4 linked regions of the Caenorhabditis elegans genome follow. The protein of the gene in region 1 interacts with the protein of each later gene in a pairwise test. Each region holds a gene or a part of one and is shown in the gene's direction. Other genes may lie near its edges. The genes, in order: rpt-6, elt-2, nhr-6 and T28C6.7.

Evidence for each region.
Region 2: the proteins of rpt-6 (region 1) and elt-2 interact in a protein complementation assay, tested with the Caenorhabditis elegans proteins (one study listed by BioGRID).
Region 3: the proteins of rpt-6 (region 1) and nhr-6 interact in a two-hybrid assay, tested with the Caenorhabditis elegans proteins (2 studies listed by BioGRID).
Region 4: the proteins of rpt-6 (region 1) and T28C6.7 interact in a two-hybrid assay, tested with the Caenorhabditis elegans proteins (2 studies listed by BioGRID).

What each region holds. Positions count from the first base shown.
Region 1 is NC_003281.10:12,368,492-12,373,137, forward strand, and holds rpt-6 (26S proteasome regulatory subunit 8), read left to right. Parts: upstream 1-1,964; 5' UTR 1,965-1,969; coding exon 1,970-2,095; intron 2,096-2,147; coding exon 2,148-2,921; intron 2,922-3,615; coding exon 3,616-3,966; 3' UTR 3,967-4,117; downstream 4,118-4,646. Other genes in the region: his-72 (Histone H3.3 type 2), read right to left, coding at 553-559; glrx-5 (Glutaredoxin-related protein 5, mitochondrial), read right to left, coding at 4,146-4,370. UniProt on the Caenorhabditis elegans protein: Component of the 26S proteasome, a multiprotein complex involved in the ATP-dependent degradation of ubiquitinated proteins.
Region 2 is NC_003284.9:10,479,612-10,483,967, forward strand, and holds elt-2 (Transcription factor elt-2), read left to right. Parts: upstream 1-1,628; 5' UTR 1,629-1,629; coding exon 1,630-1,771; intron 1,772-1,821; coding exon 1,822-1,920; intron 1,921-1,963; coding exon 1,964-2,090; intron 2,091-2,134; coding exon 2,135-2,275; intron 2,276-2,369; coding exon 2,370-2,538; intron 2,539-2,583; coding exon 2,584-2,681; intron 2,682-2,727; coding exon 2,728-3,101; intron 3,102-3,265; coding exon 3,266-3,330; intron 3,331-3,488; coding exon 3,489-3,575; 3' UTR 3,576-3,830; downstream 3,831-4,356. UniProt on the Caenorhabditis elegans protein: Transcriptional activator that binds to the consensus sequence 5'-[AT]GATA[AG]-3'. Predominantly directs the transcription of intestinal genes such as ges-1, cpr-6, pho-1, ftn-1, vit-2 and lev-11, and itself.
Region 3 is NC_003281.10:3,572,017-3,579,279, forward strand, and holds nhr-6 (Nuclear hormone receptor family member nhr-6), read left to right. Parts: upstream 1-1,564; 5' UTR 1,565-1,682; coding exon 1,683-1,724; intron 1,725-1,834; exon of another isoform or gene 1,835-1,841; coding exon 1,842-1,907; intron 1,908-2,131; coding exon 2,132-2,234; intron 2,235-2,277; coding exon 2,278-2,360; intron 2,361-4,175; coding exon 4,176-4,253; intron 4,254-4,300; coding exon 4,301-4,452; intron 4,453-4,592; coding exon 4,593-4,787; intron 4,788-4,853; coding exon 4,854-5,143; intron 5,144-5,188; coding exon 5,189-5,346; intron 5,347-5,393; coding exon 5,394-5,754; intron 5,755-5,831; coding exon 5,832-5,953; intron 5,954-6,164; coding exon 6,165-6,374; 3' UTR 6,375-6,755; downstream 6,756-7,263. Other genes in the region: C48D5.3 (TIL domain-containing protein), read right to left, coding at 6,866-7,008. UniProt on the Caenorhabditis elegans protein: Transcriptional activator that induces gene expression by binding to the NGFI-B response element (NBRE) 5'-AAAGGTCA-3'. Required for proper morphogenesis of the spermatheca and the spermatheca-uterine valve formation.
Region 4 is NC_003282.8:8,826,158-8,830,848, forward strand, and holds the start of T28C6.7 (Kinesin motor domain-containing protein), read left to right. Parts: upstream 1-1,646; coding exon 1,647-1,796; intron 1,797-1,843; coding exon 1,844-2,057; intron 2,058-2,361; coding exon 2,362-2,837; intron 2,838-2,891; coding exon 2,892-3,284; intron 3,285-3,391; exon of another isoform or gene 3,392-3,531; coding exon 3,532-3,625; exon of another isoform or gene 3,626-3,783; coding exon of another isoform or gene 3,784-3,975; intron 3,976-4,116; coding exon of another isoform or gene 4,117-4,284; exon of another isoform or gene 4,285-4,305; intron 4,306-4,424; exon of another isoform or gene 4,425-4,570; intron 4,571-4,691. Other genes in the region: T28C6.8 (Membrane protein BRI3), read right to left, coding at 3,784-3,975, 4,117-4,284.

The sequences.
Region 1 (4,646 bases):
ATTGAAAAAGCGCGCGCACCCTGACACCACCGCGTTGCGGTCGCGTCACGGTCGAAATGCGCGCGCTTAGTAGGTGCGCTGCGGTCGCGTCGCGTGTTCGATCGATAACGTAGGATTTCGGAAGTGATGATGAAATAGGAGGTGTAGGAAATTGCGAAATTCTCATAAAATTTGAAAAAGTTGCTGAATTATTCAAGACTACGTATTTCTAAATTCTTTTCTAAAAAAATTAGTTTTGTTAAGAAGTTTTCTGCTGATTTTCCTGATTTTAATGGATAATCCCGTAAAACCGCACTGAAATTCTCGCCGCGACGCGGCCGCTTCGCGCATAAACGTGGCATCTAACTAGGTCGAAATCGATGCTAAGCCGATAAATTCTTAAGAAACATCTACTTTAATGGACTACTTCCAACCTATACCGAAAAAGGCTGTCAACTCGAGAGTACAAAATAAGCCTGTGGAAAAAAAAGGAGAAGAAATGAGCCAAATTGCAGTATAAAGCCCGCAAAATGGTCCGAAAAGTTGGGAGAGCGCGCGCGCACACGCACGCACCTCTCATCACGACGACAAACAGAACAACTGACAATATATATTCGAATGGTGTCGGGGCGGGGCGGGAACGAGTAAGAAGTACGAAGCCAAATTGGTGTCCACACTATAACGTTTGATACTCAGCCAACACGAAGACACGTGACGACACAGAGAGCAAAGACTTGGCATTGTGCCAAGTCTCCGCCTCCTCCCCCCTTTTGTCGTATCGATTTTGTGGGGTCTGGACCAAATCCGGATTAAAGCTGGAAAACTTATGCCAAGAAATATCAAATCTTTCAAAAATCCTCATTGAAAATCTGGAAAATTAACTTTAAACTTCAGGTCGCGAAGGATCCTGAATCCACGTGGATTTTCAGAAAAATTACTAATCGGGCAAAATTTTTTAAAGAATTTCATTTCTAGCGATAACTTAGCGATTCATCCGTAGATTTTTATGAAATTCGAGTATATTAACCGGAATAAGGTAACGGACCAAACTGGAAATTTTCAGGAAAAAATATGCGAAATGAGCTGAGATATGAATTAAAATGCTGCGAAATTCGAATTTTCCAGACGGAACGAAACAACAAAATGCAAAAATTTTACGCGCGCTAGTTTAATCGGGGGGCCACTCTCTTGCAAACACACACTATTTCCGAAATGCGTGCCGCTTCTCTGCGGTCTCTTCAGTGTCGCCGCTGCTCTCGCGCGATTGCGGACTTTGAACGCATTTCTTGAGAAAATATAGTAAAAATTGGAGTTTCTTGGGATCGAGGAGGATTTTTTATTTAAAATATTCAAAGAAATTGCACTAATAGTAAAAAATCTGATTACTGTTCAAGTTGAAATTTCAAAAAAAAAAAAAAACAGAAACAGTAATTTTTCTCAATTCCACAGAAAATTGAAATACTGGATACTCTAAAAATATTCCTCTTCAAATATTAATATTTTCTAAATGATTTGAGGAAGTTTCAGAAAAAAACGCATTTCCAGATCTAAATAAAGGTTTATAACAAATTTCTGCGGGTAATTTTGAAGATAAAAACAGTAAATTGGACGAAAAATCTTTAATTTTCTAAATTTCGAAGAAAAACATCAAGAAATTAACATGAAAACGAGGAAATCAATCTAATATTTCTTTAAATTTAACGTAAACACAACTGTGCATTTTTGCGTCGGCGTGTACAGCATTGCGTACGTGGCGCCACAATTGACGCCATATTGGTTCTCCGGTTGAAATATCATCATTTTTAAAGTTTCTCAATTTTTATCAGTTTTCAAGGTTTGAATTCGTTTTTTTAGGCGATTTTTTCGATAAATTGGCTTGAAAATTCAATTTCCAGGGAAAAATGAGAGATCCACACGTTTCTTGTCGTGTTATTTCAGTTTTTATTAGTCTCAACTTATTTAAAGCTATTATTTATTTTTTCCAGTGTTAATGGCTCCACCTGCTTCTACTGCTTCATCAGCTGACCCTTCTAAGCCAACGGCTCAAAAATTGACCGAAGAATCCGATGAGAAAACTCTTCGCAAATATTTCAGCACAAAAGTCGATGATGCGCAGGTTTGTTGTATTTTTTAAAAAGTTTAGCCCAAGGGTTTATCAAGTATTTCAGCAAAAAGTGGCCGACAAATCACAAAATGTGCGTCGTCTGCAAGCTCAGCGTAATGAGCTCAACACAAAAGTTCGTATGCTGAAAGAAGAGCTTCAGCAGCTCCACGAGCAAGGAAGTTACGTCGGTGAAGTGAGCAAAGCCATGGATAAGAAGAAAGTTCTTGTGAAAGTTCATCCAGAAGGAAAATATGTCGTCGACGTGGATAAATCCATTGATATCAACTCACTGAACACAGGAGCACGTGTTGCACTCCGAGCCGACAGCTATGCTCTTCATAAGCTTCTTCCGAATAAGGTGGACCCGCTGGTTTCGCTTATGATGGTCGAAAAGGTTCCTGATTCAACATACGAGATGGTTGGAGGTCTCGACAAGCAGATCAAGGAGATCAAGGAGGTTATCGAGCTGCCAGTCAAGCATCCCGAGCTCTTCGATGCTCTTGGTATTGCTCAGCCAAAAGGAGTCTTGCTCTTTGGACCACCAGGAACTGGAAAAACACTGTTGGCTCGTGCAGTTGCTCATCACACCGAGTGCACGTTTATTCGAGTTTCCGGCTCCGAGTTGGTGCAGAAGTTTATTGGAGAAGGAGCACGAATGGTTCGTGAGCTCTTCGTGATGGCTCGTGAGCATGCTCCATCGATCATTTTCATGGATGAAATCGATTCGATCGGATCTAGCAGAGTTGAAGGATCCAGTGGTGGAGATTCGGAAGTTCAGAGAACAATGCTCGAGCTTCTCAATCAACTGGATGGATTTGAGGCGACGAAGAATATTAAGGTGTGCAAAAGGAGCATATTGACCGAATATCAGGATTTAAAAAATTCAAAAAAAAACATTTTTTCTAGATTTTATATAATTTTTTGAAAATTGAAAAAATTTCAGTTTTCCCTAATTGCTATTTAAATTACCGCCAATTAAACTCGTTCGTTGGAGCGCGCTTGCATTATTTTTATTAATTTTTTAAAAAAATTATTCTCATCATTATTTCACTGATTTTCTTCATTTTTTGGGGTTTTTTCATCGGAAAATGAAAGAAATAAATAAGAAAAATGCAAATTGTTCATTAAAAAATAACTGAAAATGCCTAAAACAGGTGAAATTATGTGTTCCGACGACGACGAGCCTGAAATTAATATTTTTCGGACTTTTTAACAAACATTTTGCATTTGTCTTGTTTATTTCGTTTATTTTCCGATTAAAAAACTTCAAAAAATGAAGAAAATCAGTGAAATAATGAGAATAAATTTTAAAAAATTAATGAAAATACTACAAGCGCGCCCCAACGAACGAGTTAAATTGGCAGTAATTTAAATAGGAATTAGGGGAAAACTGAGATTTTTTCAATTTTCAAAACAAAAAAGCATATAAAATCTAGAAAATTTTTTTGAATTTTTTAAATCATAATATTCGGTCATCCCACTTAGCGTAGTCCACCTATAAATATTCCAAGCTTCTATATATAAATGTTCAGGTCATCATGGCAACCAATCGTATCGACATTCTCGACCCCGCACTTCTCCGTCCCGGCCGTATCGATCGTAAGATTGAGTTCCCGGCTCCAGATGAGAAGGCTCGTGCCGATATCCTCAAGATTCACTCGCGCAAGATGAACTTGATGCGAGGTATCAACATGGCCAAGATCGCCGAGCAAATTCCCGGAGCATCGGGAGCCGAAGTCAAGTCGGTGTGTACCGAGGCTGGCATGTTCGCGCTCCGTGAGCGACGTATTCATGTGACGCAGGAGGATTTCGAGATGGCTGTTGGAAAGGTTATGCAGAAGGATTCGGAGAAGAATATGTCCATCAAGAAGTTGTGGAAGTAAAAATAAAAATGCAAATTTCGACTTTTTTTATCGATTACCCCCCCCCCCCTTTCACTGATTTTATTGTAAAAAATGGACCCTATTTATTTATTGTCTTTGACCTCCCGTGCTCTCCTTCTTTTGCTGAATAATGCAATCTTTATTCGAAAAAAAAACGTCTAAATTTCTAACAGGATTATTCATTGCTTCCCATATTTATTCGAGATTCCCTTTTCGTCTAAAAAGTCGGAAATCTCTCCGTCTTTGTGCATTGAAATGAGAATATCACATCCGCCGACGAACTCTCCCTTCACATAGACTTGTGGAATTGTTGGCCATTCGCTGAAAATCTTGACACCTTCTCTTAGCTCCTGATCGGTCAGAACGTTGTAGTCTTGGAATTTTACATTGTGGAAGTCGAGAACCTGAAATGGGAAAATGTGATTTTTTGGGATTTTTTCTTTTTTTTTTTAAAGCGAAACTATTACGGTAGCACTAAATTCTGAGAATACGTATTGCACAACACATTTGACGCGCAACATATGAAATATCTCGCAGCGAAAACTACAGTAATCCTTTAAATGACTACTGTAGCGCTTGTGTCGATTTACGGGCTCTATCAAAGCTGGTAAATCGACACAAGTGCTACAGTAGTCTTATTTAAAGGATTACTGTGTAGTTTTCGCTACGAGATATTCCAT
Region 2 (4,356 bases), on another chromosome or scaffold:
TTTTGATTATTATCTGATATTGTGGGGTGTGAAGTAATATTATGTGCGTGTGTGGCTGATTATCGAAAAAAACTGAAAATTATCAATTTTTCTACAGGTTATCTTTTTTTGTTTTATTTTTCATTATTGTATTCTTCATACTCCTTATCCTGCCCGAATCACAAAAGTTCCAGACAACTTGAAGGTCGCATCACGTTTTGTTTATAAGAATGTTGAACTGGTCAGCTTTGGAGACAGAACTGTCCTCCAAATGTTGAATATGTTTCCGTAAAACACACTGTGTAACAAAAAGCGTACCCTTTGATCCGGTATTCTTGAAAAAAAACATAGAAGGGCGTACTTTTCATATCTCACAAATATGCGTTTTTTATTTTATAATAATATCATTTATTGATAATTATATGTATTTGTATGTTTTCTTGTCTTTAAAATTATGGTGTGACATCACAGTTTAAAAATTATATGAAAACTAATGAGTGAAAAGTTAAAAATGTATAGTTTGCCGTATTTTCTCCATTAGTATTGTATTCAAAACTTATTTCCAATTGGTGAGCACTATAAACTTTGTAGGGTAATTGAGGTTCAATACTAATTTTTGAATATCTAGCTTTTGACAAATTATTCAAGTTTTGACAATGATGCCTTATCAAATTAAAAAAAATTACCATAAATTCTTGAAAGCTTTTGATTTTGTTTCACTCTGTGAAGGATAGTAATTTATCAACATTTTAACTAGATACATCTGTTCTGGCAATAAATTAAAGCAAGACTATTACTATGTGCAGTATTAATAGCTGCATTGCAACTTGTTTGAAAGTTTCAGTGAAAACGCAAAAACTCAATTTAATTTTCAAGTTTGTTTGCAAAATTGGATATATGTATCCATCAAAAGTCTGATCGCCTGTTTTATCTACTTATTGTCTCCTCAGTTGATTTTTTTGTAGTTATTATAAACGCTACTTTGAAACCAATATTTTCTTCCTCATTCCACTTTTTTCAATTACCAACTACCGTACATGCAATGATGGGCGGACCCGAGTCCCATGTTTGGCTGGAAGTGGGTGGTTGTCTGCGTATATGAGCGACAGAGGTCGGGGCTGAAACTGATAAGAATAGTCGACACTAACGCCATAATCGCTAGCCAGCCATCATGCACACCGAGCTCGGTGTGCACACCATCTTTCTTTTCAAACCAATACGCTTTGTGCCTTCATTGACAATTTTCTTTTTGATAAAATCAGCCTATCTATACTTCCCAATCATTTTTAGTCTTATCGTTGAACAGCTATCGAGGTGCCACTGTTTTCACTGATATCTTCTAAGTTACTATGGCATTAACATCTTTGTGTTCTTATTTTATGGGTTATTTTAATTAATTTTTGCAGTTAATTTTTGGAATGAGCAAGAAAATGTTAATTGTAATATCTTCGTCTGAAAATTGTCTTCAAATAGTTTTAATTTTAAAGGCAGTATTTAAGAAAATACACTTCTCGAAGCATTTTTGAATTTTTGAATTTTTAAACTGCTTGATGTTTTAGGTGCCACTGTTTTCATTGATAAGTTTTGATGTATAAATGCTTGATTTTCTTGGCATTCTAATAAAATAGAAACTAGAAAATAGATTATAGAATGGATAATAACTACAATGATAATGTCAACGGCTGGGCCGAAATGGAACCATCTCAACCAATGGGAGGTCTGCGCCTACCAACTCAGAACATGGATCCACCAGAGCAAAATAATGAGTCACAATTGAGTGAACTACCGAGAAGTAAACAAAACACTGAAATGCTTGTGGATTATAAAATTATAAAATTTCAGTGAAAATTGATAATGATTACGCATCTCCAATTGAACGGCAAAGTGTTATCACAAGTGGCACAAATAACTATGAGCCGAAAGTGGAAACTGTTACATCATGTAAGTGTGAATTCAAGTTATTTGGATTAATTCTTCCTTTTAGTTTTCCATACTGGCATAGACTACTCAAACTTTGGAATGTTGGACCAAACTACCATGCAACCGTTTTATCCTCTTTACAGTGGAATTCCCGTAAACACTCTTGGAACTTTTTCGGGATATACAAACTCGTAAGTCATGTTTTCAAGTTCTTACTTTCATATTCAAACTTTAGCATATACGACAAACCCTCTCTGTACGACCCCAGTATTCCTACCATTAACATCCCTTCTACTTATCCAACTGTGGCTCCAACTTACGAATGCGTCAAATGCTCACAAAGTTGTGGGGCCGGGATGAAGGCAGTAAACGGAGGGTAAGCTAGAAAAATTTCGATGACTCAATAAACTACCGGATTAATATGTGCCTGTACACTGTTTGGAAATAAACTACAACGAATAATTTTCTAGAATGATGTGCGTCAACTGTTCAACACCAAAAACCACGTATTCTCCTCCAGTCGCGTATAGCACTTCTTTGGGACAACCCCCGATTCTGGAAATACCTTCAGAGCAGCCAACTGCTAAAATTGCCAAGCAATCCTCTAAAAAGTCAAGTAGCTCAAATAGGGGGTCAAACGTAAGTTAAAGTTCGTTTGCAACAGTGTACAACAAATCAATACAGGGATCTGCGTCCCGTCGGCAGGGACTTGTGTGCTCCAATTGCAATGGTACCAACACAACTCTCTGGAGAAGAAATGCTGAAGGAGATCCGGTCTGCAAGTGAGTTTTTTTTTTTTTTTTTTTTTTCTAATGGTTTGTTTTTCAGTGCTTGCGGGCTTTACTTCAAACTCCATCACATCCCTCGGCCGACCTCAATGAAGAAAGAAGGTGCTTTACAGACAAGAAAGAGAAAATCAAAAAGCGGAGACTCTTCCACACCATCAACGTCACGGGCCCGAGAAAGGAAGTTTGAGAGAGCCTCTTCTTCGACCGAAAAGGCTCAAAGGTCATCTAACCGGCGTGCGGGAAGTGCAAAAGCAGACCGAGAACTGAGCACTGCTGCCGTCGCAGCTGCGACTGCCACATATGTGTCACATGCCGACTTGTATCCCGTTTCCTCAGCTGCCGTCACCTTGCCAGATCAAACGTACAGTAATTACTATCAATGGAACACTGCCGCTACAGCTGGGTTGATGATGGGTACGTGATCAACTTTTATAAAATGAAAACTACTAACCTTGAAATAGTACTTAAAGTATGGTATTAATGGTGGATAGCGTTAATTACAACAAAAACATAACTTCATAATATTGCATTCAAGCCCTCTAAGATATTCAAGCTTTTCAAAGTTTATTTTATTTCAGTTCCAAACGATCAAAACTACGTGTATGCAGCAACAAACTACCAGACTGGCCTAAGACCTGCCGATGTGAGTATGAAGCTGTTTGCCACTTCCTCGCTTATCCCACCGGTTGAGTTGCTTTTCCCAATATTTTCCCATGTACACACCAAACAGTTGTCAAATATATTACCTTATCGAGTGCTCACCTTTCATGTTTGTTTCATTTCATAAGGAATACTTTTTAGAACATCCAAGTTCATGTGATGCCAGTTCAGGATGATGAAACCAAAGCTGCGGCTCGCGATTTGGAAGCGGTCGACGGAGATTCTTAAACATATAGAAATATTGCTCAGCTCTTCCAAAGTTGTCCATTTTAATGCATAGTTTTGTATTCTCAAAAAAAAAACCATATTTGTATTATTTATCATACTGATTGCAATAACTGCCTTTTTAAAGTGTTTTCAAAGTGTTCATCCATACTTGTATAGTTTCAAAATGTTTTAAATATTTTTTCTCTAAATACTAACTCTAATAATTATACAAACATGTGTACCCTACTTTTAGTTTTTAATAAAATTATTATGGTTCTGGGTGTTCTAGATGTAAATGATGGAAATTAACTACAGGATATCGTAAAAGCGTCATAAAACTTCAAAACTTATGATACTGTAGCAAAACTTTGTTATTTCAAATTAGCAAATATTTCTGATTACGGGTTCTTCAAAAAAAATTTAAAAAATACACTAATTTATTTTTCAACGACGCCGGGCACCTGTGAACCAAGAAGATTGATACCGCGTATTTCATTGCCAAGGTTTGCGCCCATATTAACAAATTTTGAAATGAGACTTCTCAAAGTTTGCAATGGCTGTTTAAATTTTTGAAAAATGGCATAATATACAGTGCGTCCAACTTCTCTTGCCCCCCCCCCCCCCCTCTAATTTGGCGGTTTGAAACAGTTCGGTAGCGCATGTTGAAAAACTTATGCTGGTGTGAAGTTTCTTTCAAAATAAATTTATTAATTGCAAAGAATACCCCGATTTTACCGAAAATTGTCAAAAATCAGAGGGGGTGCTATAGAAGTTGGACCGCCATTTTTCCAATATTTTGACC
Region 3 (7,263 bases), 8.8 Mb from region 1:
ATTATTCGAAAATAACAAATATTTTAGCTGAAACATATTAGAAAATTCTCAAAAATAACCTGGAAATTGCCATTCATCCATTATCGAATTGTCTAGCAATTGACAACTTCTAGGCTATTTTGAGCATTTATTCAAATGTTTTAGCTCAAATAAATGCTATTTTCAAATTAATCAAATAATCAAATCAAAATATTTTGGTCTCATTGCACCTGGTGCAATAGGACATTTTTTAGAATTAACGCCCCTCATTTCTCTCAAAAACCGATTCCTCGAAAAAAATTTCCTAACTCAAATTTTATCTACAGTCTTATGCAACAGTGCATTGCGAAAGATTTCCTAATGCTCCCACAAACCGCAAAATTTTTTCTCAACATGTACGTTTTTCTTGTAATTTACAGCTTCCTTCCTACTATTTAGCATATTTTTCCAAATATGTTTTCTGATACGCCTTGTTACTCACAGGAGCTAGAACTAGATAGACAAACCAATTAGAACATCCCCCCGGAGGTTTGTATGTTTTTCGGAAAATGATCCATTGTTCAGATCAGTTATGATGTGTCGTGAGATGGGCGGGAGGAAGTGATATCATAAGTTCCCTTTACGGTTTCTGGTATATAATAATGCTCATTTAGTCGTAGAAATTTATTGTTCCGACTGTTCCGGAAAGATAATTTTTCTGTAGATCATTTATGCAAAAAATATTTTTCACTTTTGCATTAGTTTTTGCGTAGCACCCAATTTACCGAACAACTCTCCTTATCATGAAAATGCCCTTGAAATGACTAAATAATTTCACCGGTGCACATACTTTCTATTTTTTCCTTTTTTTCCATTGTCTAGAGCAGCAGCTGACGCAATTTTCCGACCTTTTCACACTTCCCACTCTGCATGCATTTTTGGATTTAAATTGTCTACGTACAAAATATCTTGCACCTGTGATGAAGTCACAAACTAGCTCAGAGATTAATTAGCTCTAGACATAGATGCTAACTGATGGGTTTGCAAGTACCTATGCCTACCTGCGTGCCTTCAACTCCCCTAATGCAGATAACAGTAGCCGTAGGTCAGTTGTAGGCACGGCAGCAGGCATAGAAGTTAACTGTTACAGTAACCACTCACCTGTACATTGGGATCTCCTCATTGATTTTGAGAGCTGACCTACATAGTATATCGAAGCGATTCGATCGCTAAACTCTGAGCTCACAGAATTGGAAACAATGAAAAAAAGGCTGATTCTGCTTTTAGAGTGACCACTTCTAATTTTAGCCGGCCCGGTGGTGTCGTCAAAATTCCTTTCCTGAAATTACGTAGATAATCAAGGCGCGGGCAGGTGAATATTCCATTCAAGACGGGCAAGAACACATGTTGTTGACTTTTTTAGTGTTGCTGCTCGATCAGTTGTCACAGTGTCAAATCACCTGCACATGTGCATTTTTAGGTGCTTCTGATGACGCGCCACGAGCTGCTACTCCGCCTTCTCAATTGTTTGACACTATATAATTCCCGATCGTCTCTCTCTCTCTCCCACTCACCCAATCTGAAAATTCGTTAAAATTCTGAACATTTTCAGATTGACCACTACTAGAGCTCTTCTCTCACTTCTTCTTCATCTTTCTTCATTCAAATCTTACAACTCCTTATATCGACCGCTCATTAATCGGATGCGCGGTCTGTCCGACTGAATGGAACAACTTAGTATTCAAACGGACGAGTTGCAAGATCAGGTACCCTAACCTATTTCTTTTTTTTTTTGAGTAGGCGAACTGGCAGGTGTACCAGAAAAACTGTTAAAGTTCGGTGGAAAAGATATGTGGTAAATTCTATATGTGGTAAATTTTCAGTTTTCCAACTGCTCGCCAGCTTCTGTCGATAGTAGCTACTCATCCTGCTCCAGCGTGGAGGACGAAGTAAGTATTCTTATTCTCATCTTCTGGAAGCCTAAACAAGATTGGGCTTATGCTTAGGATTCGGCTTAGGATTAGGCTTGGGCTTAAGAATTATAGAAAAAAAAATACAAAAATTGCACAATCCCAAAAAAACAGAAAACTCAAAAATCATGTGCCCAGAAACAACGGAAAATGAGATATTACAAAATCTGGCAAAAACTTTAATTTAAATTTTATTTTTTAAGATCGAAATCTACACACGCCTCGTGCGTAACGAAGAACCTCTGCGAAGGGACTTCTTCCGCGAGATGTCGAAAAACTCTTCGTGCTCCTCATCATTCGACTACGGTAATTCACAAAATTTCCATTTCTTCCTAATTATTGGTTTCAGGAGAGTTTGGACCATCTTCCTCGTCTCGCAAAGGCTCCAAAACCACCGATGCCGACCTCGACAGCCTTTTCCATTCTCTTGTGGTGAGCTCTTTTTCCAAGAACTTTTTTAAGATTCCCATGAAACCTTTTTTTTCAAATCTGTGGGAGAAAATTGGTATAATCCTTTTCTGAGCTATAATTTTTTTGAACTTTTTTCCGGCGGTAAAAAAAGGTGTGAGTGGGAACATGTGAATAATATCACCCGACTCCTCGTTTCCCACTTCATTTCAAACTTGGCATCCCCTCTCAACACAGTCATTGTTTCCTGTCGAATCACCCTGCACTTTCCCAACACATTTCGTGCCCGCTTATTAGAAAGATAATTGGATAGGTGAGATCACTTGTAGAGAGAGCCACGAGTGGTGTTGGTTGGAGAGAAATATTTCTCGTTTCAAATTCATTCTACAACTTTTCCACCCAACTAGTAGTAGTCTTTCTCTTTCTTTTTTTTTGGGTGTTGGCGCAATGGTATTTGCCATTAGTCATAGAGACAGTAGCAGCAGGGGTGGGACCCCTAATGCTAACAAGTCACTTGTACCAAAATGTCATTCATTTATTAGTAGTGTTTCTTTTGATGTTGCTGCTTTCTTTTTTGGCTACTGTAAAAAGTAGACCATTTTAGAAAATTTGGCAAGTTGTTTAGAAGTTTTTGGAAGTCGACTATTTTTTTTCACTCAAAATCAATGTTTCAACCTCTAAAAAATTTGAATTCTAGAAACTTTTTAAAAAAATTCTAATTTTTCCCACTGCTCAAAATTTATGAGAGTCTAGAAATGTAAAAAAATGTATCAAAAATCCCAAAAAAAAAACTAGAGTAGCCCCCCACAAAAATGGCTCCGAGTTTCTGAATTTAGACCCAACTTTTCATTGAAAATTACTGTCAAAATCAGGAATATATGCATATTGATTTATCTGAAAATCAGATTTTGCCCACTTGAACCATTGGAAAAAATGCTCGAAAATGGCCTTTTCAACAAGTATGATTTTTGATATTTTTGACCCATTTTTAGCATTTCTCAATAAAATCGCCCTGCATTTTTAAGGCTTTAGAACGTTTTTGGAGCTCTCGAGATAATTTCTTTATTTCTAGTTTGCTTAGCCATGTAGGCGGTAATTTTTCGAGGACTACAACAAATATTTTCAGCCCACAGGCTCTGCGTCATTTTAGACCAGAGAAGAGTACAAAAAGTTTAGCTCTCATAGCTCTTTTCTTGTTTTCTGCTCCAAAAAAACTCTTAACTTCCTCACATAAACAGTCCGAAAACCCGAAAAATATTTAAATGCTGGCTTAACCTTCAGTTTTGCTCAAACACATACACCCACTATCATCCGGCTAATTGATAGATACACGTGCCATTTGGCTCCCCCTTCAGTCCTCTGTGTCCACACCAAAATTTGGCATGAAACACCCCGCAATTTGTCGTCTTTCTTCTTCCTTTCATCCATCTCGAAAACTCTTTACTTTCGATTTTGATTTGATGGTCTCTCTGGGAAACCTGTTTCTATTATATCCTCAAAGTGTCACCTCTCATTCTTTTTTGGCTTCTGTCAGCGACGTCGTCATCACTCTTAGGTGGTCTCGGGGCGTGGACTGACATAATTCCTCGTGTATGCTCTTTTGTCGCAGCTAATGCTCAGGGCTCTGGACTCCGCCCCTTGAAATTTTCCTGGGCAGCCGCCTAATCAGCTGTTTGATAGAAGCGCACTTTTCATATATTCATACTTACTTCCCCCCTGCACCCTACAGTTATGATGAGCAAACGGACAGCTAGCAAAATTGACAAGCCTGTGGTCAGGCTCGGAGATGATCTTAGCGGACTTATGGGCTTTATAAAGTCTGAAATTGAAAGTTTGCAGGAGACAAGCGATCAGGTGAACACTGTACCAAAGCCCACGAAAACCGAAGTCGAGAGTATCCCCGAAGAATTCGAGCAGGTAAGAGCTTCATTCTGCACACAATTATAAACTTTTAATAATTTCAGAAACCATCCTCCTCCAGTCACCGTTTACCATCCGAAATGAACGCCTCAATCACCCATATCAAAAGTGAACTTGACCCAACTATGCAAGCATTTCAAATGCCACACAACGATCTTTTCCTGGCAACCGCCGCACCGCATTACAATCCATTCGCGTAAGTGTCGTCACAGATAACCACGTGTGAATTACTTTTGCTTCGTGTTTTCTACGTAGTACATCGAGCCGAGGATTAACCTCCATTGAGAGCATAAGCTGGTGCTTCCACGAGAGGATTTCTATTGTTTCTTCTTACAGACTTTCGAATGATTTCATGCCGAATCCCTTGATGCCTTCATTCACATCTCCATTCTATCCTCAACACTTTCCGGTATCGGATTCCAGGCGTGGAAGTCAGGGGACAACGAGCTCGTCGAACAATACCGGCGGAACACCATCGCCTCATTCAAGCTCTCTGCCAACGTCACCCCCGCAGTTGCAAGGCTTCTTAAGGTTCGTTTTTGAAATTTGAAATTTGATATTTTAAATTTGAAATTAAAAAAAAAAGAAAACTTTCAGATCCTTCCTCAACCCCGACAACCTCTCCACACCAACCTCATTCGGTGTCCCATCGGAAACAGCTCTTGACGCTGACAAAATGTGCGCTGTGTGCAATGATCGAGCTGTTTGCCTGCACTATGGAGCCAGAACTTGCGAAGGATGCAAAGGATTCTTCAAGCGAACTGTGCAGAAGAACTCCAAATACACTTGCGCTGGTAACAAGACCTGCCCAATCGACAAGCGATACCGTAGTCGGTGCCAGTACTGTCGCTATCAAAAGTGTTTGGAAGTCGGCATGGTCAAAGAAAGTAGGTGTACCCTTTGGGAAATGTTCATTATTTGTGATATTTCAGTTGTTCGACATGGTTCTCTATCGGGGAGACGTGGACGTTTGTCGTCAAAGACGAAGTTGGCAAGATCAGAGGATCAACCATCTCCACCGCTTCCTCTTCTAGCTTTGATGGGAAAAGCAATTGAAGATCATACAAATATGACTGTTGTCCGGCAATTTGTAAGTCGGAAATTTAGCATTTCTTTTGGAAAATGTTTATCATTTAGATGCAACCATTCGATGAGACTATCGCACTGAGAATCCTGCACGGAGAGCTTCATGCCACCAAGAAGCTTCTCATGGCAATGCCACAAATTTCCGAGATTCAGCCAGCCGACTTCCAGATCCTCCTCAGCAGATCTTTCTTCGCAATCATGGCAATCCGCGTGGCAAACCGATGTGGCAACAGCACCGACACAATTATGTTCGAGTCTGGAGAGCTTTTCTCGTTGAACGCGTTCCCTGCCTGCTTCCAACAAATCATTCGATTCATGGTTGACAAAGCACGAACCTTCAGCTCATTGGTTGACTGGGAGCCTCAGGCATTCGCCGCCTTTATTGCTCTTCAATTTTTGGCTGGAAACACAGGTGTGTAGAATTTAAACCCTAAAAAGCTTCAGCAAAGTTTATCTACTCCTCATTTCATAATTTCAAAATTTTTTCAGAACATAACGTACTTGGATTGACCAACAAACCTCTCGTCGACCAGGTTCAAAGTACCATCATCAATGCTCTCAAGGATCATTGCAGCGGATCTCAGAACAAATTGGCCAAGATCGTTAGATTGGTAAGTTTGTCATTTTCAACGTGTGACGTAGAATCTAGCGGGGAAGCCTTGTAACACGCTTTGAGGGCAAAATTTGCACGCTTCTAATGCTAATCCATGTCTGCCAGGAAGCAAAATTTTTATTTTTTATTGAGGGTTGCACTGAGAGCAAGTATTCCAGACTGACATGCAAGTAGGATGTCTAGTATAACACTAACTATTCAATTTTCAGACCCAAGAATTCGATGTATTCCATGCTCTTGGACTCCAGGCCCTGGACATTCTCTATCCATCACACCAGCTTCCAGAAGAGTTCATGTTCCTTATCAATCTTACACGTGCTCCATTACGATCTACGGATGCACCGCCAGCTTGTGGAAGCCCAGTTGCCCCATCTGGAAGTTCACTTTTTAACTTCCAAATGGGCCCGGCTGCCTTTTAAAATTTTTTAAATGTTTAAAATTTTAAAAATTTAAAATTAATATATTTTTCAAAATCGCTAGCCCCATTGAATTGCATATCGCAAAGATTTCTAATTTATTTTGTTTCCCCACTACTGTCTCAAACAAAAAATCACTTCCAGAAAAATTTCAAATAACTTGTTACCGGTACTTTCCCAACAATTTTTGCTCCTTGAACCTCAAATCTCTCAGAATTTGTCCCCCCATTCGGTTTTTATTTTATGAAAAGCCTCTAGTTTTTGTGTGAATTCCAATCCCCGAATATCAATTTTGTTTTGTTTCAATTTTCAGAGTTTATTTATTTTAACTGATATTTCTTGAAATTATTGTATAGAAAAAGAAAACCATAAATTATATATTTTTACATTGTTTCATTTTATTACAAAGCACCGGAGAGAGAGGGACAAGAATACTGTGGGGAAGGGGTATACTGAAGTTTAGAGAGCAATTCCTGGAGAAAAAGGTCTGAAGCTTAACAAAAATTATTTCGCATTTGTCGTTTGTTACGTCTCATGTACTGGAACGCGGTTTTCAGATCGGTTTTCAGCTCGCAGCGGCTGAATCCACGGTCGTCAATGATGGGCTCCGGATGAGCAAAGTCTGGGCACTTCTTCCCTGAAATTTGAAGGTTTTTCGAAGTGAAGAAGGCATGTGTCCCCTCAAATAGAAGTGTGTGACGTCACACGTTTTAAGGGGCATTGACCTACTGTATCATAATTTACGCGCAAAGTTTCTGTTCTGGACTGTGCTGAACTTGGTTGAACCGCGGAACCCGCGAAACGTCCGTGCAAGAACAATCGGGACATTATTTCCTTTTAATATTAAAGTTTTCAAAATGTTAGGGTTCGCCTCAAACTGTTCTGTGTGACG
Region 4 (4,691 bases), on another chromosome or scaffold:
AAGAAACAATATTCTTAAAAATGCTCCTAGTTCGAAATTTGGAATGGTTTATCGAATTATTACAATGACCTGAAAAGCCTAGAATTTATGCTATCAGTAATGCTGATTTTTCAGAAGAACTGATGAGCTTAATAGACACAAATGCCTTTTGAAAATAGAAAGAGAACTGTGTTTCATGGGTTACCAAACTTAGTAAATTTTCTTCTCGATGCTGTTTGATCTATCTTGACCCAAAAACTTTAGTAAGACAGAAATTATTTTAACAAAAATATCAGTTGTGTGCTTTGCTTTTTTACATCGTGCTCTCATGTACTGACAGACAATGAGACGTGTTCTTATAACGTTTTGTTCACAGTTTTCAATGCTTACTTTAACTTTTCTGAATACACACCGCACAGAAAACTAATGATTTAAAATGGCCTACATGAAGAGTTCCAAAACAGAAAATAAAAATTGAAAAGTCATGTTTTTTCATGCCAAAATAGTCATTTGGTTATTTTTACCATCGATTTCTTTTTTGTAATTAATATCCGTATTTAATGTCACTAATATTTCACCGAGCTCTCCCATTATTTGGCCCATACACTATGTCAATGGTCACCGCGAAAGTGAAATGCGCCACCGCAAACGAATGTGCGTCAGCAGAAAATCAATAACGCGGGTGCCGTGTTGGTCGACGTGTCTCTCGAAAGGAACTAATTCGAACCAGTTTTTTGTAGAATTTCGTGTTAAAACTTCATTTTTGATTCTTCAGGAATTAAATTGCACGTAGATTTGTAACTGTTTTAAGTCGTTTCATATATTCTTCCTTATGTTTCAAATTTAGTTATATAACCTATATTTAAATTGCTGTATTAATTCACAGTGCTAGCCAAAGAAGCAACCTTTTTTGGTTTTTGATATTGTTGAGAATGATTAAAATGAATTCCGAAACTATTTCCGAAACTAATTCAGAAGCTAATTCAGAAGCAAATTATTTTTACTTTTGTATACTTGTTCAAATAAGTTAATTATATTCACTAGTACCAAAAAAAGCGGAATTTCTAGAGTATATTATTATTATAGTTAAAAAATGAAACAGTAAATGAAAATTATTTTACTTCAGCAACCTTTAAATACAAAAATAAATATTTTGTTAGTTATACTTCTGATAACTAGGTTACGAGTTATACTTTTGAATAATTTGCAACATTATCAAAAAACTGAAAGTGAATATATTTTTGGCATGCTCCTTATACCTAATCAGTTTATTAACTTTAAAAAACGATTTTTCATCCATTATAAGACTTCTCAAGTAGTGTCGGAAGATTAAAAAATTTTAGAAAAAAAAGGATGTGTTCGGAAAACTTTTTGAAAAAAAAACGTGAGACGCATATTATTGCGTGAGATTAAAATGTGAGCTTTCCACGTGGGTTCAGCGCCTCTCCGTTACGTGGAACGGGGTTTCTCTGTTTCTCTCTCCAATCTCTCGCAGAAAATTTATTCTGGATTTACAAATTATTTAAAAAGTTTTTGAATAATTTTACGTCATCCCTTTTTTTAAACTATAATTTTCAAATTTCTTTTCTTCTCATTGTTTCTTCACGTCCTTGAAGTATACTGTCACTTTTTAAATACGTTAAATACAAATATAATACTTTTCAGAAATGGAGGACAAAACCTCCAAAGAAAAAGAAAAATCGGCCGACAAACGGATCGATGAACGGGTTCATCAACAACTGGTGTATAAGGATAACCGAATTATAGATTTAAATAATGTGATATTGGATAAAGAAAGGCAAATTTTGGACTTACAGGTGAGAATTATTCTGTTTCTGTGGTTTCATATTGGAGTTGTATTTAGGAAAGAGTTCGTGAGCACAATGAAGTTGCTTCAGTCAAAAATCAAGCAATGAGAATTGTTCAACAAAAATTTGAAGAAATGAATAGAGACAAGAAGGATATGTCGACAGAAACTGAGCCTTCTTTGATGGCTCATTCCTCAGTACCATTATCAAATTCAAAGAGTGAACGGAGAGCAAGAAGTTCATCTCCAGGTCATGTCATTGCACAGAGAAGTGAGTAAAGTTTTTTGGTTAAAAAAAAATGAAGTTGTCATGCACCATTTCTGAATATATATGACGTTCAGTTTTATTTTTAGAATTTTTTTATTATTCCCAAACAGGAAAATTGCTGATCTTAGACGTGTTAGGACAACTGTAACCTACAGTAATCTAAAGGTAGCTTGCCCAAGTAATTTGTATGCTCCTCTTTTTCTTGAAAATAAGCTCGAAAATTGAGCACACGGCTAGAAATTGAAAATTGTGACGATATAAAACTTTTTTTTAAAGTTTAACGGAATTGAATTGATCTATTTTTCAGAAACGATGGTCTCAAGTTCATCGGGAACCTTCTCTCCTCCACCATTGGATCCTCCATTTGATCCATCTAGCAAACTGAGCGCTCTTCCAGATATTGACGGAATCCATAGGAAACATCAAAGAAAACGTGTAACTTTTGATTTAAATCCAAATGGTTCTTCAATTGGAACATCAACATCTTCCAATTTTCCATCTACATCTGTTTCCCGCTATCCCACCATTTCAATGTCTTCTTCAACTTCAGACGCTCTCGAGTCTGCTTTAACAGAAGCTTCATCTGAAAATGCTTTACTCCGTCAGCAAGTTATCGAACTAAACTCATCTGTTGAAAAAATGAAAGCAGACTATGAATCTGAAATTCTCAAATACACAAAAGAGGCAAAAACTGCTGGACTCAAGGCAAAGGTTGCGGCGACTGCAAGAATCAAGGAGTTGGAAACTACACTTGAAGATATCAATGGAAAATATGAAGATGAGGTAAGTGAAATAGATGAATATATCATTTTGTATAGAAACGTTTCCAATTTTCAGAGGGATCGTCTTCAAGAAGAAGTTGACACTCTCCGATCTTCTCGAAATTGGGAAATAGAACAAAATGCTCTTCTTCGTGATCAAGTTGCTCATTTGAAAGAAAAAGTTCACAAGTTGACAACAGAGTTAGATGCTAGTGAAGTAGCCAAACGATCCTTGAGCTCAGAAGTTGACGAATCTAAAAAGCTGATGGAATTGATGGTTGAAGATCTCCTTCAAGCTGAATCCGCTATCAACTACAATCAATGTCAGAAAAAAGCTATTTTTGAGGACATTGACCGATTGAAGGATGCCATTCAAGCACAGGATAGATTTATTGAAGTTCTTGAAGCTGATATTGTCATCTATGAGCAACATATTGGACTTTTGAGAGAGAATTTGGGTGCTTCACAGGTAAGATTTTTATTTCCTGTTGAAGCTCATTTTTTCCATAAGAAAATCTTTAACATCTCGAAATTTCTAGTCTAGAGAAAAGTCAATTGAAATATCTATAAAAAAGAAAAAGTATTATATTTATTAACGGAAAAATTCTGGAAATATACGTTTCAAAGTTATGTAATTAATCACACTGAAACCCGTAGTTTAATTGACCAAAATCAAACAGAAAAAGAAACTGAAAAATATTTCAAATAATTTACAGGTCGATCATCGAGCACTGATAAAATCAAAAGCTTTCGAGACGAAACTATTGGCTTTGGAACGCGAAAAAGAGCAAAGTGACAAGAAATCAAATGGTGAGACGATAGGAGACTTTTTTGTAAAGAAAAATGGGATAAGTATCATTTAAAACTTCTGATCAAGTATCAGAATAATCGGAAATATTTACTTATGAAAATTACTTAAACGTAACAAACCCCTTTTGAAACCCTGGCGAAATCAAAAATTCAAAAAATTAATCCACAATTGGTGCAGTTGATAGTGTGGTGGAAACTGTAGAATCTGTGGATGATGCTGTCATTGCCGGATTACGATATGCAGCAAAACTAGCTGGAAGAGCCGTTTTTGTAGATTCGTACAAACGGAAGTTGTAGCCCAATCCGGGAGTTCTTGGTAAAATAGCACGGGTTTCAGTACGTTTAACCACCTGCAACATTTGATTTATTAAAAACGAGATAAGACATTAGCTATTGCAGAACACCAATACATTTCTTTAGAAATTATAACTAAAGCTCTCATTTTCATAAGAACTAAGCCTTCTAATTTTATTTTGAAAGAAAAAACTCACATCACATTGACATTGTGTGCAATAGTATGTTTTCCGTTTCATGCAGCAGTAGATTCCACACGGAAAGCAAAAAATTGCGTATAAAATTGCTCGCCAACTGAAACGGCTTTTCACTTTTTTCTGAGTGCAAGCCGGACATGACAGATTAGAAGATGTAGTGGATGACATGATGGTTTTGAAGTTTTACATCTGAAATTTAAGCTTTAAAAACTTTTTAAAAAGTGTTTGAAGAAGGTGTGCAGCAGTTTCATATCTGGAAGCTCATACGTGCTTCTCCGTTTATGAGAATAAATTATGCCTAAACTCACTTGCCACATCGAATCGTGTTCCAATAATGCAAAAAAAAATTAATGTGGGACGCAGCGTGTCAATAATCGATGGGAGAGAAAGGACAAAGTATCCGCTCGACTGCCACCTCACTGTTTTCGCCTAAAGTATCACAATCAACTAAAGATAGACATAGAGAGAAACGGCACGCAGATATACAGACAGACAGGCAGACATATAGAGAAATTAGAGAAACATTGTTTTGTGTTGACAATACAAGAGGTCTGATGATAAATTGGTCAGTGAAA